Canis lupus familiaris: one gene and its partners. The protein of the gene in region 4 interacts with the protein of the main gene of each other region in a biochemical or structural test. Links are inferred from orthologs where the notes say so. Each region holds a gene or a part of one and is shown on either strand. Other genes may lie near its edges.

The links.
Region 1: the proteins of RALA (region 4) and RALBP1 form a complex in vitro, tested with the Homo sapiens proteins (3 studies listed by BioGRID). The link is inferred for Canis lupus familiaris from reciprocal best matches to the Homo sapiens genes RALA and RALBP1.
Region 2: the proteins of RALA (region 4) and EXOC2 are reported together in a solved structure, tested with the Homo sapiens proteins (2 studies listed by BioGRID, with this or other methods). The link is inferred for Canis lupus familiaris from reciprocal best matches to the Homo sapiens genes RALA and EXOC2.
Region 3: the proteins of RALA (region 4) and PLD1 form a complex in vitro, tested with the Homo sapiens proteins (2 studies listed by BioGRID). The link is inferred for Canis lupus familiaris from reciprocal best matches to the Homo sapiens genes RALA and PLD1.

What each region holds. Positions count from the first base shown.
Region 1 is NC_049228.1:75,539,111-75,546,489, forward strand, and holds the start of RALBP1 (ralA-binding protein 1), read left to right. Parts: upstream 1-2,766; 5' UTR 2,767-2,904; intron 2,905-3,217; exon of another isoform or gene 3,218-3,361; intron 3,362-3,394; exon of another isoform or gene 3,395-3,429; intron 3,430-7,379. UniProt on the Homo sapiens protein: Multifunctional protein that functions as a downstream effector of RALA and RALB. As a GTPase-activating protein/GAP can inactivate CDC42 and RAC1 by stimulating their GTPase activity.
Region 2 is NC_049256.1:2,369,417-2,376,772, reverse strand, and holds the start of EXOC2 (exocyst complex component 2), read left to right. Parts: upstream 1-2,908; 5' UTR 2,909-3,004; intron 3,005-3,664; exon of another isoform or gene 3,665-3,784; intron 3,785-3,912; exon of another isoform or gene 3,913-3,936; intron 3,937-7,356. UniProt on the Homo sapiens protein: Component of the exocyst complex involved in the docking of exocytic vesicles with fusion sites on the plasma membrane.
Region 3 is NC_049255.1:36,166,552-36,173,128, reverse strand, and holds part of PLD1 (phospholipase D1), read left to right. Parts: intron 1-302; coding exon 303-420; intron 421-2,044; coding exon 2,045-2,269; 3' UTR 2,270-6,577. UniProt on the Homo sapiens protein: Function as phospholipase selective for phosphatidylcholine. Implicated as a critical step in numerous cellular pathways, including signal transduction, membrane trafficking, and the regulation of mitosis.
Region 4 is NC_049239.1:10,201,859-10,209,441, reverse strand, and holds the start of RALA (ras-related protein Ral-A), read left to right. Parts: upstream 1-3,471; 5' UTR 3,472-3,700; intron 3,701-7,583. UniProt on the Homo sapiens protein: Multifunctional GTPase involved in a variety of cellular processes including gene expression, cell migration, cell proliferation, oncogenic transformation and membrane trafficking.

The DNA of each region.
Region 1 (7,379 bases), on a different chromosome or scaffold from region 4:
CATATGACTTGGCTTGGCCAATGGGACATTAGTAAATGACATGTTTGCATGCTGAGAATACAAGTAACCTTAAGAAGATGAGAGACCATTGCAGAGAGAAGCTTAGCCATCCCAATTGCCCCAGATGAGTCCAACTCCCACCTAATCCACCAACTAACTATAACTGCAAGAGCAGTAGAATAGCTTAAAGCCACTGAGTTGTGGGGTGAATTGTTGTGAAGAGCAAATGTGAACTCTTACAGTTCGGACGCCTATTTTTGTCATGAGCTCTAAATAGTGTATCTTTTATATGATATATAAAACTATAACATTTTATTTAATATTCATTATTTATTAAATATTAAATTATAATCTATTTATTTAACAATATAAAAATAGGACATTTCAACTATGTAACAGTGCCATGACCCAGTGAACTGTTTAGGTGCCAGTCCCAAGGATACAGGCAACAAGCACTGGATTTTTTTACTCTGTTCATCCAAGGGTGGTGTAGTCTTTAGAATATTTAATCCAAGTCTCATATTTTTAAAAAAAGCATTATTGAAGTATAATTCTTGTACCATAAAATTGACCCTTTTAAAGTGTACTATTCATGAAGGATATTCTATTTTCTTGTGATGTTGTTGGTTTTGTTATAAGGGTGATTGTCCTCATAAAATGAATTGAGGAGTGTTCCTTACTCATCTATTTTCTAAAAAGGTATTGATAGATTTGGTATTATTTTTTCCCCTTAAAATATTTGATAGATTTCACCAGTGAAGACATTTGATCTGGCCTTTTCCCTGTGGGAAGATTTATATTTACTAATTCAAGTTTTTTACCCTGATATATGTCTATTTGGATCTTTTCCTTTTCTCTTCAGTTAGTTTTAGTAATTTGTTCTCTCCAGGAAAGCCTCCATTTTCAACTATTTTTAAAATTATCAGAATTATGATGCTCATAATATTCTCTTAGAATACTTTTCATTTTTGTAAGGTCTATAGTATTCTCTCTTCATTTCTCATTTTGGCAATTTAGGTCTCTTTCTTAGTCTAGCCAAAGGTTTATCAATTTGATATCTTCAAAGAGCTGACTTTTGGGTCTTTTTCTCTATTTCCTTATGCTTCAGATTTTTTGATTCCTATTTTTATCCTGTTTCCTGATTTCTACTTAATTTAGGTTTGATTCACTTCTCTTTTGCTACCTTCTTGAGATAGAAGCTTAGATTACGGTCTTTCTTCTAATTTTAAGCACTTAATGCTACTAATTTCCCTCTAAGCACAGTTTTGGCTGCTTCCCTTAAATTTGATATGTTGTATTTTTGTTTCCATTCAGTTCCAGGTATTTTCTAATTTTCCTTGTGATTTCTTCTTTGTCCTATGGATTACTTAAAAATATTAATTTCCAGTTATGTAGGGCGGGGGTTTCTCAAATTTGTTTTTGCTAATTCCATTGTGGAAAGAGAAAATAACTTGTATGTTTTCAGTCCTTTAAAATTTATAGAGATTTGTTCTGTGACTTGCCTTATGATGTATACTGGACAATGTTTCATTTGTCTGAAAAGGATGTATATTCTGCTGTTGGGAGTTTTCTGCATATGTCAAATATTTCAGTATTGGCTGATACTGTAATGAGGGTCTTCTATATCCGCCTTTCTTTTCTCTTGTTTATTGCTGAGAAAGAAATTTGAAGCCTCCAACCACAAGTGAATTGTCAATTTATCATTTCAAGGTCCATATAGCGATTTCACAAAGGGCTCAATAATGTCCAACTCAGGCCAGTGCCTATCCCTCGTCCCCATTAATGGAGCAAGGAGCACTTGTAACTGGCATCGTAAACATGCCCATCTCAGCGGTCAGCCGACACTCTTCTGTCGCCAGAGGGTCAAAAAAGAGCTCCTCAAACTGTCAGAAAACAGACCACGTCGGTATCTAATTCCAGGAGACTCTTCACCTTCAGGCTTAGGGGGATGAACTTCACTGGGTAGAAAACGCAGGGTATGGGCAGCCCGGGTGGCTCAGCGGTTTAGCGCCGCCTTTGGCCCAGGGCATGACCCTGGAGACCCAGGATCGAGTCCCGCGTCGGGCTCCCTGCGTGGAGCCTGCTTCTCCCTCTGCCTCTCTCTCTCTACCTGCGTCTTTCATGAATAAATAAATATTAAAAAAAAAAAAAAAAAGAAAGAAAACGCAGGATACAAGGGAGACTTGTTCTCAGATCTGTTAGCTTATCTGAGAGGTATAGCGCAAGACAGGTTACATAGGTTAATCGACATTATACAATGAATCTCTCGAGAGTATCGCACGTAGGAATGGAAATGATTGGGAAGAGCATTTAACCCAAATCATTCCCCTAATAATGAGCCAACCTTAATCAAACAAGAACACCTCAAAGGACCCGACTTCCAGCCATGCATTAGCAGAATAATTCTTCAAGCCTTGCTTAGGTTTCCCGGGGGGGAATTCAGTCATTTTCAGCCTTCCCTGCAACTCAAGTTATTTCTCTTCGCAACCTAACCACGCGGCTGGGCAGTCCTAATTCAGGTGTTCCCTGCAAACGTCGAGCCAAAGAGGGCGGCGGAAGACGGTCCCGCAGCCCAGCTCGAACCGAAGGCTGGCCCTTGCCAATTCAGGAATTCTCGGCGGGGTCTGCACACACAGTTTCACGCAGATTTCCCCTCGGAGGCCCACGGCCGGAGTCCCCACCCAGCCCAAGGCCGGGAGGATGCCCCACCCAGGGGCAGGCCGGGCCGGCCCCCGAGGCCGGTCTAACTGGTTAGGACGGCCGGAGCCTGCTGGCACAGAAGGGCTGCACTTCGGGAGCTGAGGAGCAGCCGGCCAGAGCGTGCAGAGAAAAGCGCTTCCCTTTCTCCAGACCACCGGAGGCGCTGCCCGCCAACCCGTCCTCGGCGATCTCCGCTCGTGGTAGGTAGGTGCCGCCTCCCACCCAGTCCCCCAAGACCGGGAACTGCGCACGCGCCCGCTGAGCCCTCCGCGGCGCATTCTCTCGCGCGCTCCCTCAGTCTCCTCAGCGAGCCTCTGGGCCGAAGTAGGCGCGGTGCTTCCTGGGTGTTGTAGTGTGGCTCCTCGACGGAGGGCCCTCTTGTAAACTGGGCGCTGGGCGTCCGAGAACTACGCCTCCCAGCGTGCCGCGCGCGAGGGCACAGGGCGTTCGCCCTTGACGGCTTTAGCCGTCAGCGCAGAGAGGAGGACCCAGGAAGCCGGCAGCGGCGGGAGGAGGGAGTGCGCTTGCGCGGTGGGCCGGCTCGTCGCGTTCTGTCCCAATCATTGTAAACAGGCGGAGGCTGGGGCGGGGTGGGAATGGGGCGCCCGAGGCCGGCTAGGGGCGCAGCGCAGGAGGCGCCTACGGTGGCTGCGGCGGCACGGTGAGCGCGAGGCGGCGGCGGCGGCGGCGGCGGCGGCGGGGCGGGCGGTCGCGCGGCGGCAGGCGCAGGTTGGTGGCGGGCAGCGGCGGCGCGCAGGGGTCGTGGCGGGCCCCGCGCCCCGGGGGAGCCTCTCCTGCGCGCCCCGCCGCGGCGTCTGTCAGGCGGCGCGCGGGGCTGGCGGTGGGGGTGGGGGGCGTGGCTGCCCGAGTGCGGGCTCTTCCCCGGCAGGCTGCTCCCCGGGGGTCGCCCGGCTGCCGGCCGTTCCTCCCACTTGCCGGCCGGGCCTCCCTCGTGGCGTCGGCATTTGGGATTCGGTGCTCTCGGGGTCCGGAGGGGGGAGTCGGGAGCCGGCCGCTCCCCGCGGAGTCCCCAGGCCTCGGCAGCGCCGGGACGGGGGACTCCGCCTTTTATATAATCACTCTTTCCTCATCGCCCCCGGAATATTGAGCGGCCCCAGGACCGGCCCGGTGCACCGGGACAAGGCTCCCGGGGTTTCCCTCCGCTGGCACGAAGCACCGGGGCTCCTTTGGGTGCTGCGCTCTCGCGTTCAGGTTTCCCTGCGGATGGACGGACAGATCTGGAGTTGAGAATTCCTTTTACAACTCAATTTCAAGTATGCTTGTGCCAAAACGCTCTTATTGAGGACACTTTTTTTTTTTTTTTTTTAAATCGTTGTAGGAATGGAACAGGTTTTTCAAAATACTCCACACCTCAGTCTTAACCTGAAGTAATTAAACGCTGTTTTGAGTTTTGGGGTTCATTCCTTCAGGGCCTCCCTCTTGGCCAAGCAGCTTGTTTCCTCTAAGGCCTGGTTGAGTCTTTGAAAGTAGTTAGAATGTTAACTCGAGGTAGTGTGCGTGTGCCTTGTAAGAGAGGCACAGTCGTCTGGACGGGGAGTTCACACATCATCCAGCCTCACCAGAAGAGCTCTCACTGAATACTTTGGAGTGGAGTGGGCATGCTCGCTTGCTGCAGCACTTTCCGTAGCCTTCCATCATTCTTGGCGGTTACTCATCAAGTATTTAAGTGGTGGTAAGGAGCACGCTGACTTTTGGGTTGGTGATCATGGAGGCAGCCCTGCTAACGCAAGCAAATGGGACTGTGAATAAGAAAAGTAACCTCCCTTGACGCCTTTCCGGTTGTCTTGGTGATTTGCTAGTTCCTTTCTGAGTGTCTTTCTGAAAATGAGTAATTGCTGTAAACGGTACTGGCAGTAGGAGAGGTAGGAAGGAAGTTAAAGTGGTTCCCACTTTTCAGAGTGACCCATAGATTTACGTGGGTGGACTAGTTTAATAGTAACTAACAACCGAGAAGTAATTCTTTGAACAAAGTGTCTCGAAGCAATGTGACATACTTGGCTCTTTTTCAAAATAGTATCTCTCATTTTAGATCTTATTTGGAAAACTAGAAGTAGTATCAGAGAATCAATACCAACTTTAATTTGCACCCTTATATTTGCACAGCTGTTTGCTTGGCAAGGGGAGATGGGGCTTGAAGGTATTCAAAAGTATGTTCTTTTTTTTTTTTGTTGTTGTTTCTTTTAAGATTTTATTCATTTATTCATGAGAAACTCAGAGAGGGAGAGAGAGGCAGAGACACAGGCAGAGGGAGAAGCAGGCTCCATGCAGGGAGCCCGACGTGGGACTCGATCCCCCGTCCCCAGGATCACAACCTGGGCGGAAGGCGGCGCTAAACTGCTGAGCCACCCGGGCTGCCCTGTTCTTTCTTTTTTTTTTGAAAGAAAATTCCTGATAGAAACTTTAGTATATGTGGAAGGAATAAAGAAGAACGCGGATCGTTTAGAGGAATTACTGTGTTAGCAGGTACTATGGCAGGTGAGGAGGACTTACAGATGGATAAGGCTGTGCCCCTGCTTTCTGGGTGATAAGACTTTATCTCTTACTTGAACTGTTAGCAAGTACAATATGTTTTTAAGATTACTTAGAGAAAGTATGGGGGTATAGAGGTGTACAAAGGAGATAGTGATCAGTTTCCTAAGGGAAGAGAGAGATGGAGGAAGGTGGCAGTGGTAAGGAGAAAGTGTGTACAGGAGGGGATGCAAACAGTAAGAAAGGACATTTAGGTAGAAGGAACAGTGTGAGCAGAAGCATGGGAGTCTCCGCTTCCATAGTGAGTTGTAGGATCTGCAGGTATAGCTAGTGGGCAGGGGCCAAATTATGGATGGTCTTATACACGGTTGAAGTAATTTCAACTTTTGTCTTACAAGCAAATAGAAGTCACTGAGACAGGATAGGGAAAACAGAGGCCTAAGCCAGCTCAGCCCATTTTAACTCCCTCCTATGTGTCTAGTGTTACATTAGGTACTTTATGCTTTATGTCCTTAAACTTGAAGGTTTAGGCATGACTGAGGCAGAAAATGAGGAACTTAAGGCAGAAGGAAAGCTGAATGTGATTAGAGAGCGTGGAACACTTCGGAGAGCTGGAAGCCATTGTCTGCAACTATAGCATTGGATTTATGGTGGTGAGTTGCACAAGAGGAGGCTGCACAGATAGATCCTTGAGTATTGCATGACATTCTAAGGATTCTAGAATTTTTTCCCCTAGAATATAGATAATAGAGTTTATGGATTTTAATCAGGAAAGAGTCATAAAATATTCATCTTAGATCATTCTGGTATTGTAGAGTGCAGATTTCAGAAGGGATGGAGGGAAGATACGGCAGGGTGCAGAAAGACTGGTTAGGAGTTTTTGTACTAATTGAGGTGACAAAAAAAAAAATAATTGAGGTGGCAAGTAAGGTCCTCAGTTAAACCAAGGCAGAGTCAGTGGAGATGCGAAACAGTAGATTAATAGCACAAACGTTTAGAAGGTAGAATTCAGAGGATTCAGTTACAGTTGGATTTTAACTTGGATCATTGAATAGACAGTGGTAAACTGCAGTTGACCCTTGAACAGTGTGAGTGTTAGGGACACCAGCCCTCCCCTTGCAGACCTCCCCCTTGCAGTCTAAAATCCGCATATTACTTTTGACTCCCCCAAAACTTAACTACTAATAGCCTATTGTTGACTGGAAGCCCTACTGATAACTTAAGGTCAATTAACACATATTTTTATATATTATGTATTGTATACTATATTTTTACAATAAAGATAAAGAAAATGTTACTGAAATCATAGGGAAGAAAAAATACATTTATAATGCTGTATATATGTGTGTGTGTGTGTGTGTATATATATATATACATATATATATATATATACACACATATATATATATATATATATATAAACAACCAAACACATTTGAGTAGACCCACACAGCTCAAACCCTTGTTGTTCAAGGGTCAACTGTACTGACACAGGGACTTCAGGAAGGGGAGCCAACTGGGGGGAGGAACAGTATTTCAGCTTTTGGATATGTTGAGGAGTTGTCTATGAAACATCCAGGTGAAGCATCAGCTATAGAGTTGGGTGTGTGGGTTTGGAGTCGAAGAGAGAGGTCTTGCTCTGAGGGTCAGCAGGCTATATTATAGGTGGTAGCTGAAATCTTTGATTTCTGTAATACCATGTAGGAAGAGCTTACCAGTGGAGTGTAGTTCTGGAAATAGACAATGGAGAATAACATTTAAAGCCAGATAGAGGAAGAAGACTTGGAAAGGGAAATTCCTAAGTATTTAGAGATGCAAGGAAGTCATGAGAAAATGTCATATAAGCCAAAATGTAATCATTTCAAAGGGAAGCTATGCTTCACTACTAACTCTCCAGAAAAAAGAAAAAAAATTTAAAATAGGAAGCTGTACTTCAAATGCTTTGAGAACTTGAGTAAAACAAGGATTATTAGGAGTCTGTTGAATTTGATAACTAAGAGCAGTTTTGTAACCTTCTACTTAATGCTACCATTTGGGGAAGGGGCTAGTTTCTTTGAATTGGGAAGTTAATGGGAGATCAGAGAGTGAAGAAAGTAAATGTGGATTATTTCAAGAATAAACAAATCTTAGCTGTGACAGGAAGACTGGAAAGAGGTGTTAGCAGATGGTAAAAAGGTTTAAGAGAGTGA
Region 2 (7,356 bases), on a different chromosome or scaffold from region 4:
CCCCCCCCCGGGCTCCAGGTTGCCCCGGGGCAGAAGCAGTGCGTGTTCCAGAGAGCAGCCCTCGGAGACCCGGAGACCCGAGGGCACCGCGAGGGCGGCGGGCAGCTCCTACGGCCTCCACTGTGTCCGGCTGCAACGTGCATGTCTGGGCCACCCCGATGCCTCGCGGATGCCACGTGCCATGCCACAGCCGCCTCCCTGCGGCCGGAGGGAGGCCTCCCCTGTCGCCGACCCGGGCTTCCCACCCCTCCCCCTGGCAGGCACGGCCTCTGCCTGCGGTGCTCGCCTCCTGAGCCCCCCCCACCATGGGCCGCAGCTCCTGACCCCTGCAACACGGGGCTCACTCACCCCTGGCTGCCCGCCCCCCCTGTAGGCCGCAGCTCCTGACCCCTGCACCGGGGGACTCACCTGGGTCCCACCCCCCCAGGCCGCAGCTCCTGACCTCTGTACCATGGGGCTCACCCCGGGCCACCCCCTCACCCCACATAGGCCCTAGCTCCTGACCCCTGCACTGCAGGGCTCACCCCTGGCTGGGCCTCCTTACAGGCCATGGTTGCCACGCAGCCGCTTACTGTTGTCCTGGGAAAGGTGCCGTGAGTACCCTGAGTTCCAGAAAAAATTACTCCCTGTCTGGATTTTGTCCTGATGATGAGGGTCAGTTTTTGTTGCCTAAATGAGGAGAGACCTTTCAGTTTAATAGAACCTTCTATTCCCCTGGCAGGGAGGGTACAGCCAAGGCCCCAGCCTGGAGACGACGCTATTATGGGAAATTCTGCTATTATCTGGTGAGGAGCCAGACAGTGATGCTGGCCAGGGCTCTGCGGGCAGGGGACACAACCCCAACCCCAGGATGTGTACCTGGGCCTGAGAAGTGAGCTTGTCCGGAGATGGCACAGGCCTCTGCAGCCGGCAGTGCACGCACCGCCTAGATGGGCCGCCCCAGGGGATCCCTGGGTGGCTCAGCGGTTTGGCGCCTGCCTTTGGCCCAGGGTGCGATCCGGGAGCCCGGGATCGAGTCCCACGTCAGGCTCCCGGCATGGAGCCTGCTTCTCCCTCCTCCTGTGTCTCTGCCTCCCTCTCTCTCTCTATGTCTATCATAAATAAATAAATAAATCTTTAAAAAAAAAAAGAAATTATAGATGGGCCACCCCAAAGGGCCGCGGGTAGCTCCAGGCCCACCTGCTGCTACACCTCCCACAGGCCTGCAGTACAAACACTGAACAGGGTGGTCAGGTCATTAAGGGCCCTTCTGCCCTGGATGCTCCCTGGGGGCCATTCACGTGACACACAGAAATTGGCCAAAGATGCATTTTGTGTGAGGCACGGTCGGAGTTCTTAGAGCCACAGATGGCAACCCCTTCACCACCCTTGTGCCTCTGCCGCGCAGCTACCCTCCTTTCCGTTTAGCTGTAACTGGTTATTCCAACAGGTCTCAGACTTTTGGGAATGTCTAGACCAAAAGCAGACAGCGTAAAGTCATGTGGTCCCAGTGGCAGGCCACCTCCTCCAAGAACCTCGCCCTGTGCTCAGCTCCACTCGTGTGCCTCTGGCTGCTTAGGGCCCTTGGGGGAATCCCTTCTGAGCCTGGAAGAGGCGTCTGACCTCAGTGGTTTGGGGCTCTCCTTATAGTGTGCAGTGGCTTTCGTGTGCCTACGTATTGCCCAAACAGGGACATTTTGGACAGTGAAAGGGGCTCTCTTGTTAGGCCAGGATAACAGACAAAAAACAGAGTTCTCTCAAGCAGAGTGGGACATGGGATCAGTTAACTTGACATCTTCTGCAGTCTGAGCGGCCAGTTCCAGGACAACCAGAACAACCCCTCTAAATACCCTGTCACGGGGGCTGAAACTCCACCGTCCTACATAACGACGTTTCTTTGTAGAGACTTCCAGCTCCTTCGCTCTCTGCGGCTTCTGCCTTGTAAAGCCGAGCCCTCAGTTACGACTGATTTCCTACTAGTTCTCTGTCCTGGCAGAGTGGCCCTAACAAACCCAAGCGCGCACTTGACCGCATACATTGCAAACTTAGGGCTGCACGTCCCAGGACGGCTTTCAGCCCTGCCTGGAAATCTTACATTTTCTTAGTCGTGTGCTTCACAGCATCAAGGACAAGAGGTCTCATCCTTTCTCTTCACACCTCCCGTGCCTCCCATCCTCTGTCTCTACCAACGATCTTTACGCATCTTGTGCTAAGAAAGCAGAAGGAATCAGAAGAGCGCTCTCAGTTTTCCGCTTTCCCTCCATTTCCAGCACTGCCTCTTCGGGGCAGGCCGCAGACATTTCTGGCCTAGGCTGCTGCAGGCCCCCCTAAGCGGCAGTGTCCTTCCTGTCGCCCCGCCGGGTTCAGCCTCAGCCCGAGATCCTGCAAAGGCGCGCCCCTGGCTAATGCCCTGCACCGCCACGGCCCATGGAGGTGCTCCCCGCCTTTGACGTCACCAGTCACCAGCTCTTGGGACCCTCCAGATGGGAGCCTGGCTGTCTCCGCCACGACCTCCGACGGCCCGTGACCTCGGTGCGGCCCCTGGCCTCCCAGCGCCCGGGTGGCAGCTGCAGCCACCTGCCGGCGCCGAGCCCGCCAGAAACGGACGAGAGTCATGCTGGGCCCTGCTTGCGTGACCCCGGGGCTACCCTGGGCCCTCGGGCGGCGTCCTCCACGCCCGGCTCCGCTCTAGCTGCACCGCACAACCCTCCGCCCAGCCAGCCCGCCCGCCCGCCCCGCAGCCCCGCCCCGGCCCCGCCCCAGCCCCGCCCCGGCCCCGCCCCAGCCCCGCCCCGGCCCCGCCCCCGCAGCTCCGCAGGCCCCGGCCCCGCCCCCAGGAAGCCGGCCCCGCCCCTCGCGGGGAGGCTGCGCCATCGAGGACTCGGTGCTCGACTACCGGGCGGATCGACGGCGTCGGCGCTCCCGGCGGGCGGAAGTGAGGGCGCGGGCGGGGGGCGGCCCCGGGTCGGTCCGCGAGGAGCGCCGGCGCGTTGCGGTGGGGGCGTCGGGGCGGCCGCGGCGCCAGGTACGTGCTGCCTAAGGGCCCCCGCGGCTGGGGTGAGGGCGGGGGCGGGGGCGGGGGCGGGGCGGGGCGGCTCCCGGAGGGCGGGGGTGGTGCGCGCCGCGGGGCCCGCCTCCTGCGCTGCTGCGGGGCCCGGACCCTGAGCCCGAGGGCGCGGCGCCCTGTGTCCCCCCTGGGCCCGGGCAGCTGCTGGAGGAGGGGGGCCCGACCCGCCAACGGCCGGGCACCCGCTGGACCCCGGAGCCACCCCCACCCGCCCCGGGCACCTGCTGGAGGCCCACAGCCCTACCCCCCACCCCCGACCTGCCCCAGGCACCTGCTGGAGGCCCGGAGCCCCACCCGGGCACCTGCTGGACCCCGGAGCCCCTCCCCCACCCGCCCCGGGCACCTGCTGGACCCCGGAGCCCCTCCCCCACCCGCCCCGGGCACCTGCTGGACCCCGGAGCCCCTCCCCCACCCGGGCACCTGCTGGACCCCGGAGCCCCTCCCCCACCCGGGCACCTGCTGGACCCCGGAGCCCCTCCCCCCACCCGGGCACCTGCTGGACCCCGGAGCCCTTCCCCCACCCGCCCCGGGCACCTGCTGGACCCCGGAGCCCCTCCCCGCCCCCGGGCACCTGCTGGACCCCGGAGGCCCCCCCCCACCCGGGCACCTGCTGGACCCCGGAGCCCCTCCGCCACCCGCCCCGGGCACCTGCCGGCCTGGAGCCCTGACCCACTGCCCCTCGAGTACCGGTGGTCGCCGTCCCCATCCCCTCGTGCCGCGCAGTCGTTACCGTGCCAGGTGGGAGAATTTATTGGCGGAGAGCGGGTGTGAAGCCGGGTTGCTTAGTTGCTCAGATGGCATCGCGTACAGGTGCACCGAGCCTCGTCTGGGCGCCTTTGTTCGCTGCTCTAAGCGTTCACGTTTACTGCCTGATTTAATCCTCTCAAGAGGTAGCTGCTCTCATGTCCCCACTTTACAGATGGGGAAGCGGAGCCCGCAAGGTGACGAAGCTGGTGTGTAGTTCCGCAGCCTCCTGACTTCCTTTGAGACCATCCCCGAGTCTCCAGGCCTGCACAGCCAAGCACGGGGTCATCTCTTAGGGAAGCCTGTGACGCTTTACTCGGTATCCTAGGATTTTGTGAATAGCTGTCCAAGAAACAGTTCTTGAAAAGCTTGTCTTTAAACGGAAATACACTATTCTTAATTGGTAATTAAGAATTATAATTATGAGAATTATAATTATATGGATCTCAATTGTGAGAAAGTTTCTTCTTTTTTTAATAATTCTGAGTAAATTTATAAGGAGAATTTTTTTTTTTAAGATGTTAAAGAAAACATCTTTAACAGATGAGAGAGAGAGGCAGAGACCCAGGCAGAGGGAGAAGCAGGCTCCATTCAGGGAGCCCGATGCAGGACTCGATCCCGGGTCTCCAGGATCAGGCCCTGGACCGAAGGCAGGTGCTAAACTGCTGAGCCCCCCGGGCTGCCCTATAAGGAGAACTTTTAAAAATACTTAAGAATGAGCCACAGCTCAGTTAAATCCTTGGGATGCGCTATGTTGAAAAACTAGTTCTACCTGAGGTTGTGTGGCTCAGTCTTCTAATATATAATAATATTTTATTTATAAAAGCATATTTTGGCCAGGCTTTGTGTCACTGCCTCTACTAACAAAGAAACTAGAAGCCAAAAGTTTCCTGAGGATCATCTGTGGGTTAAAAGTTGTTAACTCAAGGGGTCGTAATAGAGGATGATGTGTGCTTGCTACTCAGATGTTCTCTTCTGTTTACACAGCAGAGAAGCAGAGGATCCCCCAGCGTAATTTGGAATGACTCTTGGAGGTTTCAGAAATTTCTTTTTTTTTTTTTCATATCAAACATTTGATTGTACTGAATATAATTTTGGACTATTACTTTTGAAAAGATGATTATTAACCTGCTTAGCTAAATTTTCATTCATCCCTTTAATATTTGCGAGCCTGTTATGTATGAATCTTAATGGGAAATGAAATTGGCGTTCAAAAAATTTTGCAGAGGCATTCTTCTAATAAAGGACTTTGGATGATTTCTAGTGTCCTGGCAGGATAAGGCCAGTTTTATAGTTAGTCTTTTAAGTACTTTTCCCACCCATTTTTCGATTTATTCATCTTTACGTAGCCAGGATCCTAGTGCAGCACCTACCGCACTGCAGGAGCATAAACGTTTTACTGAGTGGAGGAGTTTTAGGCCAGTGTCGAGTAGAGAGGATTTTGAAATCGACGGGCATGGGAACGAACGTTGATCAGTCTGCTAAGCAGAAGGCTAGGATGGTGAGGAGCGTGTCCACGGATCTCCTGGAGCGCCTGGTGAAACTGCACGGTAGTCGTGTGGTTATTATCACATGGTTCAGTGTATGTTTATGTTAATTTAAAATAATTATTCTCGATACAAACACACAAACTTAAAGTAATTGCAGGGAAATATGACTCCCAAAGCTCTGTGACACCCATAGTCCTCCTTGGCCCTCAGTGTGAAAGTTACGGCATCAAAGCCACCATTGACTGGTCTGTGAGCTACCACCCACCTGCTACGCAGCTCGGGCTCCGCCTCTGGTCCTCAGTGTCCTCTTTCCTGTAACCACGTTATCTGTACGAGCTCTTCCCTGGTTTGAACGCTTCTAGCTCAGTGATTCCTGCAGCCAGCTAGCACTGTTATATCCATGTGTTGTCCTAGGGGCTATAGCTGTTATTGGTATTTACATAATCTGTCAAAAGGCTAAGTAAGTTCTGGCTGGACGGGGGTTAGCCTTGGTCATTTTTCGTCTCCCAGTTTTACATATGCCTGGCACATTAGAAATAAAATATTAGGCTAGATTCAGAGGGGCAGTTTTGTGCTCTCGATTGAACAATAGCTAAGAACTTGACTATATATCAAGTGTCCGTACAGCAGGAATTCAGATGGGGGAAGTTTCTGTTGGAGTTGGGACAGAGGTCAGTCCTTGATGGGAGGATCTGGCCCTTCGTGGGGAGGGCACAGGAATATCTGGGTGGTACACCAAAAACAAAGGCCCACAGGCTGGTAAGTAAGTGCGTTTTGGATTATGGAGTGCCTTGGGGGTAGGGCAGAGGAGTTCGGAACTGATTTTTTATGCATTTCACCCCCCAGGAGAACTGTATTAGACTTGCTCAAAAGCTTCATGAGCATTCTTTAACTTGATTCTGTCGGGAACGTTTAAGATGACCAGCTGGATGTGGTGCATCCCAGTCTTGATTTCTGGTTTTGATTTTAATCATTCCTTCTACTTACGTTTCCTTTTTAAGTCTGGGAGCCAGTCGTGGAAAAAACAGTGGACACTGGGGTTTAGGAAACGTGGAATGTGGTTAATTAGAGGGGAAGCTGCATAAGGTGGATCCAAGCAGGCCCCTAGTGGTGCCTGGCACCAAGCGGGCATTCAGTAGTCCTTGTGCAACGACCAGCGGGTTCTCCCATTGCTACTTGCTGGCTGTGCTGCCGTTGGCAAGGTTGGCTCATAGTTTCATCCGTGAGGTTTGATGAAATTTTTGAGGCCTTTCCCACTTGATATTGGCGGGTGTATGATTTTTAACTTCCATTCTTTTATAATTTTACTGAAAGACAAGACAAGACTAAAAGTCAGGAATATTTGGTTTTAGTTTAATTTTAATGAAATCCCCATGTGATTGACATGATGTGTATCTGGATAAATGAGAGTCTCAGCAGGAATCAGAATTCATGCCAGATGGTTCACATAAGGAGGTTTTAATAAAGGGACTACTTGGCGGAGGTGTGGGCGAGGTTAGGTGACAAATAAGGGGTAGTGAGGCCCAGAGAGAAACCGACCAGTGGGAGGAGCAAGAGGACAAACTGCAGCCTGCTGGGAGCTGGGGCTGCAGCGAGGGGTGTGGCTGCTGCCAGAGGCTTCCGGGGTGGGGTGGGGTGGGGGGCAGGACTGTGGCGCCCCCACCCCAAAAGAGTCCACTGCCGACTCTCTCTCTCCTTCCTAGCAGATTTCTTAGATAGTTGTTGATACTCCGTTTCTAACTCATCCCACTGCTTTCTGGTTTCAGTACCCATGATTCTATTGAAGGTTAAGGGCATCCATGACCTCCTTGTTACAAAATCTTGTTCTTATCATTTCCCCAATATAGTGCCTGGGACATAGCAAGTCTTAATAAATATTTGTTTTGACTGAACGAACAATCTGAGGGTTCCCCTATTCCAGATTTCAGTTTATCTATGTCTTTAACAAGGAATCCGGCACTGTACTCTCTTGAGATGCTAGGTGACCAATCTCTGTATAGATCCCAAATCTTCTTGATGACTAAACAAAGATAGAAATCAATTTTATTTGTTAATGACTCCTTCAGTATTGGCTAT
Region 3 (6,577 bases), on a different chromosome or scaffold from region 4:
TTAGGCCAAATTCCAAGGAGTCTCTTAGAACTAAATTCAGATCTATCTATCCAATAGTTAAAACTTTCAAGCATCAGAACAGCTTGGGTTTTCTTAGTTTGGTTTGGTTTGGTTATGCAATCAAGATTTTATACACGCACGCACACACAGTTTTAATGGTTTCCTTGGATTTTCCTTAGAATAAAAAAAAAAGAAAAAGGACTGCTATGGTTGAGTGCCTGAATTACATTACCATTAGAAACAATGCTTGCAGCAAATTTCTTTATCTCAGTTACTCATTTTGGAAGGTACTTGTATTGCAGGGTTGTCCTTGGCTATCTTTCTGACCCAAGTGAAAACATTCAGGATCCAGTGAGTGACAAATTCTTCAAGGAGGTGTGGGTTGCAACGGCAGCTCGAAATGCTACAATATATGATAAGGTGAGGTTTTCATCTCTCTCCCTACCTTTTTCATTGAATCACACCACAAAAACACGTCATTATTACTGTATATTATTGGTGCAGAGTAATGTTAATGGGTGTAAAAATCCAGTACATTTCCAAGTTGTAATAAAATACCGCTTTGTAGATATTAAAAAACAGAGTCAAAAAGTATCATGGATTATGGTGTAGAAGAGCCATTAGTGGCATTCTGATCTCTCATCTGACTGTGGGATCCCATCATGAGCATCCTTAGAAGGTGGTTACCCAGCCTTTGGACATGTCTAGTGACAAAGAGAAAAAAGGCAGATGGAATCCCAAAATGAGTCAGACCTGGGTTCAACCCAGCTCACCCAGCTGCTGGTGATACAAATTTGTGTGTAGTGATTTGACTTTCTGAGCCTTCCTTTCTTATCCTATAAAGTGGGCAAGATATTCATGAGGGTGGTTATGAAAATAAAGAATAGTTTTTTAAATGTATTTAGCACATAGTGCATAATAAATGGTATCCATTCCTGTGATGGAATTTATTAATAATGAAACACTTCCTTTGTTGGGCAGCTCTACTTTTGGAAGGGTGTTTTAAAACAAGCTCCATATGTTAGGGAGGCTAAATGTATCTTTTGCTAAGTTCTCTCCATGGCTTATGACAAAGAATGTAGAAGAGTTAAGAGTTGTCCAACAGTGGAATGAGTTACTTCATGAAGTAGTCAGCTTTCTCTCATAGAAACTATTCAAGCTGAGATCTGCTGACCATCTATCAGAAACTAGATAAGAGTGTGTTGTTCTTCTTCATGACTGCCAGCGTCCCTTCCAGCACAGAGAATTCATCATTCCTAATGAAACATGACAGTCTCCATAGCTTTACTTCATGCTGAGGACTCAAGGCCATGATCAAATAGGTCATGTGCATGGAGTCCTTTAAAATGTAATTTTAAAAATGCAGTGCACAGCCCTTGTTTGGATCCTCATGGGAGGAGAGGATAGCAGCTATAAAAAAAAAACATTTTGGGATTAATAGGATAAATCTGAATATGGACCATATCTTAAATGACTTGGAATTGGTTTTCTGAGGTGTGAGAATAATATTGGGGTTGTATAGGCACATCCTTATTCTCAATACATGCTGAAATTTCTAGGAGGGAAGTATTCTGGTATGTGAAGCTCATTTGCAATTGGCAAATTAAGTGTACAATTGATAACTTTAAGGTACAGATATGGACATTTTTGAAAATAAAAAACATAATATGCAGTTTTCCTCTTAAACCAGAACGTCCAGTGAAATTTGGAGAATTATTATCAAAAAACTTAACCTTAATGTGAAGTAACATCAGTGGAATTCCTGTACCACTAGCTTGACTTTATCACGACATCGATGACTTGTGTAAATCAGATAGAGGGATCAACCTATGATTTTTTTTTTTTTTGGATGAAAGCAAATCTAGTAGTCTCTTTGTAGCAAATAAGAGAAGCAACTCTTCAGTCAGGTGTGTGCTGTAGCATACAACTACTACGTGTTTCATAAAGCAAAGATTTCATCAGTTGGAATGAATATTTTCCATAAAGGGGCTATCTTTTCTTTTAAACTTATGACCTAGTTTCTTCCTATTTGTGTCTTAATCAGGTGTTCCGGTGCCTTCCCAATGATGAAGTACACAATTTAATTCAATTGAGAGACTTTATAACCAAGCCCATATTAGCAAGGGAAGATCCCATTAGAGCTGAGGAAGAACTGAAAAAGATTCGTGGCTTCTTAGTGCAATTCCCCTTTTACTTCTTGTCTGAAGAAAGCCTACTGCCTTCCGTTGGGACCAAAGAAGCCATGGTGCCCACAGAGGTTTGGACCTAAGGGTTGTATTCGTTTGCAGCTCAAGGACTTCCTCCTTGAAAAGTACACTGCACACAGTGACTTTATGGAGATCCTCACAGCCACAGCCAGCCCTGCCTGAGGCACGCTTGTTTCCACCCTGTGGACCCTTTGGGTTGGCCGGGCAGGGCTGCAGTCCTACTGAGATAAGGACACTGAACATCAGGTGGGCTTTATAATTCCTCCTGTTTATCCTTGTGAAAAAGGGACCGTATCCTGATTGGTAGCACACGCTCAACAACTTAAACACATGCTCAGATTCCACGATGGACACCGAAGTGCCTTTCCTTTGCTAACAAGAATTTATCTGTACCTGTGATCTAGGTTGCCAAAAATTGTCAAAACCTCCTTATTCTTCTCTGACCCTCATTTATGCAGCCGATGACTGCTGGACCTGCCCTCACTTCATAGTACATGCAGACACTGTTTGAGACGCTGTGTATTACTAGAAGGCGTCGTGATGCTGCTTCCGGGTTCTTCCAGGTGACATGGGATGCCCCTGCCCATCTGGTCCTGAAGTAGTAGTGTTCACCCAACCAAGGATGTTCCCTTTGCAGGGACCGAAAGGATGGGGGCAGACATTCTGTACACAGCAGCCCATGACAGGCGCGTCTGATAACATCGACACTATAGATCTTCACACCACAGAGCAACAGGAAGGAATTAAATTTGGTTATTGAGGCAGAGATTTCACGTTGCCTCCAAAGGCAATGACAAACTATGTTCTTTTGATAAGGCCCACCCGATCAAATTTGAAAACACGTGTTGGATATTTCATTTCACGCCAACTGCTAAAACTCAGAGACCGAGCATACAGGCTTCAGAAGCCTCCAAGGCAGCCATGGAGATCTGACCCAGACAAAAGAAGATTCCTTGTAGTTGTATAAAATTTCCTATCATCCTTAGCTTCTGGATTGATTGAAATTTGAATTTCAACATTGGAAAATCAAGCCACTGAATGCAAGTTGTCTTTCAAGAGAACCAGAGGCTTCATAACTCCTACCAACTTAATAAGTAGGAACCTAACTTTGACATTCAGCTCTCCAGCTATGTTACCTTCTTTAAGAAAAATTAATTGATTGCAAAGTATGTGCTACTTAACTGGCATTATTAAATATGCATTAACATTCCACCAGGCTTCCAAAGAAGTTAGGATCTTCATTAATTCACATCGTCCTAGTCTATGAATTGTTCTAGAAACCCATTTTTTTTTCCTTTTTGAATAGTAGTGTACCCTTTGGTACACCATAGCTCTAATTTTACTGAGCAGAAATATTCTGACAGCCTGAAGAGCTGAGGTGGGTTCCCAGAAGGCCCGTGCCCATGAAACATGATGTAGGTGCACTGATGACATGTGTGTATTACCGGGTACGAATCTCATTGGGGTCATTCCTCAAAAAAGCAAGGACCCAATCCTTGTTTTCATAGAGCTTGGGAAACATTAAACAGGAGCACAAAGTCAATAATCTGGGTGAGTAGGAGAGAGTGTCACACTCAGGAGAGGACTTTGCAGCGAGAGAACCTTTCACAAATGAGGTAGGACTGTGCTTTATGAATAAATACTTTTTCAGCTGAAGATGGTGAAAAGACTTCATTGTATGGCAGCTGTAAATAAGACATTTGCTACTGATGAAGTTTAAATTGGCATTTAAAGTGTTGAGTGGATGTGGAATACCTAAGGATTTCTTATAGTTTACTTTTAAATATTTTTAAAACTAAAACAGTCAACACACTGGCTTTTGATTTTGTTCAAAATGCTCTCCTAATACCATGAAAAATAAAAGCCCAAAAGGTCCCCTTCCCTTTAGAAGAAAAAACAAATCACTTAATATAACCTCTCCCCATTTTATAGATGAGGAAACCGAGGCCCAGATTGGTTGAAGGTCTCACTTGAGTTCATCCAACTGAGAGATGGTGGAGGTAGGACTAGTGAAATTGCTGTGGCCCATTAGTGGCCTCTCCCTTGACTTTGTCATTGTCCATGAGTGAGGAGAGGCAGGAAACAGATCTCAGGCAGGATATCTCTAGGCTCTTTTGAACACTGTGATATCATGGATTTGAGTGCTCATCTGTGTCCCCCCTGCTTGAATGTAAGCTCCATGGGGCAGGGACTTTGCTATGTCTTGTTCACAGTGTATTTTCAGAGCCTGGAACAGTACCTGGTACATTGGAGGTACTCAGTAACTGGTGGGTGAATAAATGAGGTGGAGGGGAGAGCTAACGGAATGACAAACTTACAGAGTCTCAGGCAAGAAATCTTCCTGTGGTTTCTGTGGTAAGTTTCCTTTCTGCTGCATTTTTTTCAAAGGCAAGATGTTCTTCTGCAAAGATGAGAGGCTGCCAGCTTTACCTGGGTGGATTCTATGGAAGATTCTGTGCAATAGTTACCTATTTGCAATAGCAGCTTACACAGGGCAGCGTTCTGCAAAAGTCACATGGGGTATGGACACGAGGCATACTGCGTGGCCTGATTACCCATCATTTTAACCCCACTACCATCTGATAATAGAAGTTAGAACAATTTATCTTTAACGTTGCAATATCTGATATCAACTTTAAAATGCAAATGATTCAAAGCCTTGAAAAGCTATTAGGAATCTGGTCGACATTTTTAATCGATTGTAATCTCCTGAAATGCCCCTCAATGCTGTACCCAATATTCTGGTAATCTCTGGAACAATTTTTGTTTTCAAGAAAGAAAAATTCTGTGATTGTACAAAATGAATGGTAGAAAGTAGAATAGCTGTTCAAACTACTCAGATTGTCCAAGCTTTGTTGTTAGAGGATACTCAACATCGCCGGTCAGGAGCAGGCATTTGCTCCGTATCAAGTGTCCACGTGGGGATGCGCCCTTCTTTGGGATGTTCTTAACTCTCAACTCTAATGCATCACGCAGAGGCTTGGAGAGGTTACTGGTTTTGTGTTAACAGCACCCTTGGAAGGAAATCTCATCTGTAGGTAGTCAAAACCATGAGCCGTTCATCTCTTATGTACTAACTTGGGAAATTGTAATAGCTCATGAATGAACAGTCTCCCAGCTGAGAGCAGCAGGCAAAGCAGCCTTTCTGCAGATGTCAGGCCACAGCCAGACCAGACCTGCCTACCCATCGGAGGAACCTGCACTTCCTCCTGTATCTCCTCGCTCCTTATTCCCTTGGCCTCTGTCCCCAAGCAGAGCACCTCCTGATTATGTAATCCATTTTAGAGGACAAGAAAAGAGTTTCTGAAAAAATTAGGCCCCTACAACAAATTTTCAGTTTACCTTACTCTTCTAAGCGACTGACAAAATATGATTATTTTTTGACAGAGGTAATCGTCTTTTTAACATCCCTGATCTGATATGGCGCTTGAGCATTTTCTGATGTCTGTCACCCTATGTAGCAGGGGGCAAAGAGGATCCTTCACGTCTTCTCATCTCTCTCTTGGATAAAATGAGCAAATGCTAAAGGACTTTAAGTGTGCTTATGAATACATTTTTATTTCCCTGGAAGATCCTCTGAGGCCAATTACTACTGGCACTTTGGAGGTTTAAAATGGATGGACCTTGAGAAATTCTTGAATCTAGAAATTCATGAGAAAAGGAATTCATCAGCATCTCTCAGAAAGTTGCAGATGAAAAGTCAGTGAATTCACAGTATTTTTAGGGGAGTGGACAGGTACCATAAAATGATAATGATTCTCACTGGCATTTAATTAATATGTCAGACAGTCCTGACTGACTTAAGATTGGAAGCATTCATTAAAGGAACCAGATGTTTTATGACTTATGTTCTTGTAGGCCATTTTCTTTCTCCTTTCTACTATTTTTAACTTTAAAACAGTAATCAAACGTAAGATACATGAAAATTGGTCATGCCGATATTTGGAAGTTGCAAAGTCAGAGACTAGGATGGCAATCCAACCAAAATTCAGGCTCACTTACTCTTTCCTACCCCTAAGCAGCTATAGTCCTTTACTTTACTCTTAATAAATGCATGTAAGTGAATGTCACCCTAAATCTGCTTGACTCCAGGAAACAGAACATCATGTCCTCCTAATGTATATCTACTTGGATTTCTTCCCACAAAATAATCTGGGCCAAAGGTACTGATATTCTCCTAAACCATTCTAAAACTTCAAAGTATTGCCGCTGGAGTACATACCACTGACACACACAAAAAATCCCCCACAAAGAATTGGCAATGAGCATCCATTCAGAATATATTGATATTCTGGACAGAACTCAGGCTCCTAGCCTCACCTCTACTGCAGCACATGGCACACCAAGGCCGGGTCTCCTGTTTTTGTAAA
Region 4 (7,583 bases):
CAAAGTTTTTGGTGAAGACACAGGCATAAACATAAGAATAGTAGCTTAAGTTTAAAAAAAATTAAGCCTGGCTGAATTTTAGATTCTGCAATCAATCATAAGCCAGAAATGTCCATATTATAAATACATCCTGGCACAACTGTCATATCAAGCTGGTAACCACGTATCAAGTACTACAGGGAACAGTGCATTTGAGGCTCAAAAGTCTGACTTTGACTCTGCTACTTGACAATTTGTAACCAGTCTTTAAGTCTGCTGAGCCTTTTTTTTTTTTTTAAACAACGTGTGCCTCACAAAGTTGTTGTGAATACAAAATGAAGTAATATGTTAAAGGTATCGTGGATATTATAGACAATAACATGTATTTTGAGTTGCTTCTCCATCAATAGTGACAAATTGCTAATAACCAACTGCTTTCTTATCTGGCCAATACACCCAGAGGGTTTTGTTGTTGACAGTTGTTACTATATGTGTAGTTAATGTACCTTCATATTTTTATAAATTGGCATATGTGTATAAAAATATGCATATTACATAGCCATGAATGTTTAAATGTGTTTACATATGCATATACCTTTCAAAAAAGAAATAATGAAGCTATTAATCTTTTTTAAAAGATTATTTATTTGAGAGAGTGAGCAAGCAAGAGAGCACAACCGGGGGGGGGCGGGGTTGGGGGGAGAAGCCGACTCTCCACTGAGCAGGGAGCCCGATGTGGGGCTCTGTCCTGGGACCCCGGGATCATGACCTGAGCCCAAGGCAGACACTTAACCAACTGAGCCACCCAGATCCCTATAAATCTACTAATCTAATGGGCAAAGCTTCATCTACTGCAGGGTAGACATTGGACAAAACCTCATAGGCCTATACATTTTTTATTTTGTATTTCTGGTTAATCAATGATGAGAATGACAGATAATTCACAGGAATGCTTCCTGTTTCAGACAAACATGTAACTGCAGGTAAAACTTTTTATTCTATAGGGACATGAGTAATGCTTTCATAGAAAATTCCAGTTATATGACTACAGTAAACTAATGACTAATTCTAAAACAAGATTCTGACAAAAGCATACCTACCTGTATATGTCCAAAACACAGATTAGCTATAATAGCAGTGAACATAAGAATTAGTTACTAAAATCTTTTACTCTTTACTTATTCTATGTTTAATAGACAAGGTTTGATCATAAATAATGAAAATTAAACACAGGAATAAATCTAAGCCTATCTTTTTTGTTGTTGTTGTAAACTTAAGCCTATTTCAAAAACAGAATCCTTCATGTTCTTGAAGTTGCCCAGGCAGCAAATTTAGGAATGCTCATGAGTTCTACTGGATATTAGTGTTAATTATTAATAATATATAGTTACAATTATACCCTTTCATCCAAGTACCTCAAAGAGCTCTTAAAGCATTAATTTGTTATTTCTTATAATATCTCCGAGAGGCAGGCCAGTAGAGGGTTATTATTATCTCTATTTTACAAAGAAACTAGGGCATGGAGAGGTTAAGTGACCGTGCTAGGGTCATATGGTGAACAAAGAACATAAAGGGGCCTCGAGATCATTGTTCTCATTTCCAGTTCAGTATGGTATCCATTAGCTGGTTGTTAATACACCTACATGTATTTCCACTCTAAGAAAACTGAGAATAATATATTTGAATAATCTAAGAACTAAAGGCGAGAGTCCCTCGTGGTTTACATTCAAAAGTGCCAAATAAAAACCCATAGTCTTTGGTTTGCTGTTGCAGCTCTTATTTATAGGGGTTTTGTTATTTGCAGCTTTCCGAAGTCTTTGCTGAAAACGACCCATTCTATTTCTGCTTTCAGGTAGGTTAGCTTGGCTTTCAACAGCCAAGAAGCAGTTGAGACAGGCTGACTAATCAACTCGAGGTTGACCGTCATTGTGTTCCCATTGCTCACTTTTCTGGAAGTCGACCTCCTGGCTCTCCATTCGACAGGTATTTGTGCAACCTCCCGTCACAATCCTTTGTGGCTGCTTTAAATAAGCTGTTTATCGCCAATGATTAAACTTAAAAACTTTTTTTACGTTAACAATGGCATTCCATCTTAGGAGTTTGTGCTGCTACACTAGCTAACATGGCCATATTTGGGTTTTCTGTAAGCCTGACCTTTCTAGTCTTGACCAGGGAGACATTTGGGTGTTAGCATGTGTGGATGGACATGTACTACCAGACGGGGGATTTAAAAAGGTGATTATTTCAGCAATCTTCCCACAAGAAGGTAAGGAAAAGGAGTGGTTTTGAGACTGTTCAATGAGAGGAGACTGCAGTGGGCTTGGAGGTGGGGATGCGAGCCTGTGGTGTCCCTGACCTCAGCCCAGAATTTCCCCAGAGCTCTAGACACAGGCGGCAACTGCCAGACCGCACTCAATGGGCCAGGTCCAAAATGGCACTCCCTGACCCCATCCCCGCCATTCCCTATCTCATTTTGGTAGATCTTACCCTCACCCTCCTCTAAAAGCAAAATAAGGCATCATTATTGGTACTTCCAGGCATCATTATTGGTACTTCCAGGCATCATTATTGCTTCTTCCAGACATCATTATTGCTTCTTCCAGACATCATTATTGCTTCTTCCAGGCATCATTATTGCTTCTTCCAGGCATCATTATTGCTTCTTCCAGGCATCATTATTGCTACTTCCATTCGCTTACCGAGAATCTGCCCCCAGCAACCAACTGCAATTGGACGCTCACCGCTACCCACACAATGGCCCCATCCTTTCCCTAGACTTCTGCGCCGGCCCCTCGTGCACAGGCCCTGTGGCCCCACTCCTCCCCTAAAGCTGTCCAGGGTCACTCCTCTCCTCCTTGCCTCACCGAGGAGTGAAGACATTTGGTCCCTGCGTCTCCATCACCTTTGTCCCCAGCAACCCAGGCTTGACCTTTTTAAGTCCTGGAATCACTGCCCACGCTCCGACGCGCGATTCGCCGCGTGCCGCATGTCCTCTTTGTGGGGACGTGGATGCGCCCGCCCCGTCCCCGGTGCTGGTGCTGGGGGGGAGGGGCGGGGGGCCCTGACCTTGAAAGACCCGAGGCACCCGCGGGTCGTCCGCTCCGCCCTCCGCAGACCGAGGCCCCGCACTTCCGAAGCCCGCCAGCCGGGCGGCCACCCGCCAAACCACCTCCAACCCCCGCCGCCGAGAGCAAGATGGCGGCCTCCGCGTCCCCTCCTTCCCCGCGAACCCCGCCCGGGCCCCACAAGAGAGACGAGGACGCCGAGATGCGGGCACCTCCGCGAGGCCTGCGGCGACCCCCACCTCGCCGGGCGCGGGGGGCCTGGGTAGGGCCGCCCGCGGGGCAGCGCAGCGGGGCGACGCCGGCCAGTCCGCGCCCCGCCGGCCATTGTTCTCCAGCCCCGGCCCCCGGCCCCCTCCTCTCGGCCCACGGACCGGAAGTAGTTCCCCAGCCGGCCCCGCCCCGCTCCCCGGCGCCCCGGAAGTGATCTGCGGCGGCTGCTGCAGAGCGGCCAGGAGGAGGGTGGATCTCCGGAGAGCGGAGCGCCCCGAGTCCTCCTCCTCCTGCTGCTGCTGCTGCTCCCGCTCCTGCCGCCCAGGCTCCGCCGCCGCCCGTCGGACTCGTCCTCCTGCCGCCCGCGGCGGGGAGCCTCCCAGACGACAGGGGCCGAGCTCTGTCCGCCCGAAGCCCGCGGGGCGGCGGACCGGCTTGCGGTGCAGGTGAGCGATGCCCGCCCGGGCCGCCGCGGGAGGGGTCGGGGCCGCGGGGCGGCGGCGGCGGCGGCGGCGGGGGTGTGTCCGGGCGGCGGCGGCCCGAGGCCCAGGCTCAGGGCCGGGACGCCGAGATTGCACGTCCCGCGTTCCGCCCGGGAGCGAGCTGCGGGACGAGCCCGGGCTGGGAGCGGGGGCCGGGCGAGCGCACCGCCGGGGGCCGGGGGCCGGGGGCCGGGGGCCGCGAGCCGGGGGCCGGGAGCCGGGAGCCCAGGGCCGCGAGCCGGGAGCCGGGGGCCGCGAGCCGCGGCGTGGTCCTCCCAGCCCGGCCTCTCCGCGAGCCGGCCTCGTCGGAAGGTCACCCTGCATCTCTGGCCGCCGCGCCGAGGTCCCCGCCTGGGCGGTGCCCGCGACCCGGGGGGACCCGCCGGCCCCCGCCGCAGTCCCCGCGCTTCACTCCGCCCCTCTCCCCTCCTTCCCTTTCCTCCACTCCGCGCCTGTACTAGAGCAGTTGCTTCTGAGGCATCTCCGCCAGGGTTTTGTGCCAGTTAAAGCAATGGCTTTTTCAGACTGAAGTCCTTAGGTGCTCCGCCTTGAACTGCACAGGTCTGTCTGCCCCTATTAGCATCACCTAGCCTGTAAAGCGAGGGAGAGAATATAGGTTTTTTTTGGGGGGTTTTGTTTTGTTTTGTTTGAGTGAGGGGGTAATTCCTCTTGGAGATTTGTTCCTGAAGGAGTGGAAGATGTGATTTGTGGTTTGCTTTTAGCCTGGGTGTCTGTGTGTAAGTGGGCAGGGATGACAGCACAGAGAGGTGGCAGTGTTGTTTCAAGGTTTAGGGAGAATTAGGGAGTTAACTGGCTTCTGCTGGGAAACCTGAATGTCCAGGCTTGTGCGAGCTTATCCAGGTGTCTTCGGGGTTGTGTGAGATCTCCAGTGCCACGCCCGACGTGTCAAGCTGAAAAGCACCCAATTTGCAGATTGTGGTCGCTGTGTGTGTGTGTGTGTGTGTGTGTGTGTGTCGAGGGGTGGGTGGGTGGGGGGAGTAGGGAGGCCTTTGTAAAACATGTGCCCTAAGTTAATTTTTGTCCTGAAAGTACATTACAACTTTGGTCATCACGTTCCCTTAACTCATATAACAAAATTTGTTAATAAACTCGCAGTGGACGGCCTGTTTTTTGTTTGTTTCCAGCTCCTTTATTAATATATTTAAATGTATATCTTACTCGTTTCTGTGTCTGTGAATACAGTATTATTGTAAAATGATTCTTGTGACTCTTCAGACATTATTTTTAGGCTTTGAATTTTTTCAGGGCAGGAACCGTGTCTTATGCATCCCTGTTGCTCGCAAGTGATTACTGGAACATAGGAGCTCTCCCGTATTTCTTCACTGAATGAATGAATGTGGAGATGATGCCACAGCTGCCTCAGGAGTCATTTATTTCTTGGGTTTTCTGTTGTGTTCCAGTTTCTTGGCGCAAAGACTATGCTTTGTCTTAAATGTTTTTTTGGCGTAGTGAAAGGACAATTCAAGAAGAATCCTTTGTTGTCCTTCCAAAACTATCCTCCCCTGGAAGGTTAAAATTTATATTTAGGGTGTTGTGATTGGGCAGTGTATTCCAGTCTTCAATAATTGCCAATTAAGCAAGTTTATCCAGGGTTATTATTATTATTTTTTTAATATTTTATTTATTTATTTATTCATGAGAGACACAGAGCGAGGCAGAGACAGAGGGAGAAGCCGGCTCTGTGCAGGGAGCCCAACACGGGACTCAATCCTGGGTCTCCAGGATCACGCCCTGGGCTGAAGGCGGCGCTAAACCACTGAGCCACCTGGGCTGCCCATATCCCGGGTTATTAAAGAGATTTCCTAGTGATAGCTTATGTTTGGAGGTTGATAACCGTAACTTATCTTAACCAAAAAGAGGAAATTGGGAGTCACCACTGTTTGGAAAACCGTTGATACATCCCAGAATTGCTTATAGTGGCTTATTTCTCCCCTGGGTATGTGAAATCCTCTCACATCCTGATAGGACCTTGGCATGATTTACCAGTAGCCACTTTCACATTTCTTTGCAGAGATCCAGATGTTCCCTAATGTGTCTGCTGAATATGCAGTTATCTGTATCACTTATTTTAAAGTAGTTTCGTACAATCCTTTCTTTGCAGGGCTTTCAAGGGAAAAAAAGGGCTAATTATAGGGAAGAATCTTGTTTACCATTTGTGTGGGGGAATAATTTTTGTCTGTAGAAGGTTAGGTTATTTTCAATTTAGAGATCCACCCCCCCACCCCACCCCCCCCAAAAAAAAAGTGCTGATACCTTCTTTCCTTTCCGAATGTCTGGTTGTGGTCCTGTACTGGTTTTCCGAGCTTAGCTTCTGCGGGATATGAATGAATGTACCAGAATCACTTCTTGTATATATGTGTGTATCAGTGTTACCCACACTTGTAATCCTTAGTAGATGGGTGGCAAGGACAATCACTTTTGATACAGTATATATTTTTAGTGGAGAAAAACATTATGATATAGGGAGACAGTTTATGGTTTTTCTTGTTTTATAAAGTGTTTTAACTCTTAGACATAGTGGGAAGTCTGCAGTTTCTTATATCAGCAACATCACCACTGTACAGAGGTCAGATTTCTCTTTTTTAATTCAGCAACCGTCTTGGTAATAACAATCCGTATACACTGATTGCCTGCCACACACTGTGATAAGAGCTTTAGTTCTATTATTTTTAATCTCCACAGGACCTCTGTAAGATAGGTAGTTTTTCCATACTTCACTAAGGCTAAGTGAAGTGATTGGCTAGAGGCTGGAAGCTAGTATTAGGAGAGTCTGGATTTGAAAGTAATGATTTCTGAGAGCATTGCATATTGCACTTAATCCTAAAAGGCTCAGGAAAAACAAGTTTCTGATTGAGCTGAGCCTCAGGAACATCGATCTAATGATCTCAGCACTCTTGACCATCAGGTGGGCCCTGGGGTTACCCTCTTTATCTCCAGCTTGCCTACAGATACCATCCACTATGTGTGCCATGATGAAAAAGTGGTTGGGTATGATTCAGATAGGTGTCCTGGAGGAGTAGAGTATTAGGAACTCAGCAGTTGGTGTTGATTACTGCTTTTTACCTCTGAAATACGTGAATGCTCCCTACTTGAGGGGACTTTGGAAAACCTATTTTGTAGTGACCTTTTCTGAAATCTTGTTTTTAGTTCTTTCACTAAATGACATGGCGGGGGTGGGGGGGGTTGTGGGGGTAATTGTGAAGAGTGGTAAGAGAGGTAGAGGTATCCTGGGTTGTTTTTACCATTTCAAACCATATGTCATTTTCTCTTTGGGTTTAATATAGAGGCTTAAAGGCGACAGAGCTCTTGTAAAGGTCTAATTTCTGTTCAGTGCTGGAATTCTCTTTACTCTTTCCAAGCCTGTGCAGTTTTTTTGAAATATGCACTTTTAATGGGCTTAATTTGAAGAATGTGTTCATCTCTTGGTTAAAAAAAAGAGGGGGGAAGAAAAGGTATGTAGCTCTAAGTAAAAAATGGCTCATTCTCCAGCCCCCATTAGTTACACTTATTCTTTGTTTTATTTCTTTAGCTCTAAGACACCTCTCTTACTACCTTATTACACTTAAAAGGATTTGGTTACAATATAGAAAAAATGAAATTAAAGTTCTATGAGTTTTAAGAGTCATGTGAGTAAATTTTAGAAGATAATTTGAATCTTTGATGTGATTATACCTGAAGGTATAATTCCTCAACATCAATAGGGTAGTCTGTGCAAGCCCAAAACAGCAAGCTTACATAAAAATATTAGGATACTATTCTTAAAGGCCTTCAGTTAGAATTCTCTATTAGATTTAACACCCCTGGGATCCCTGGGTGGCGCAGCGGT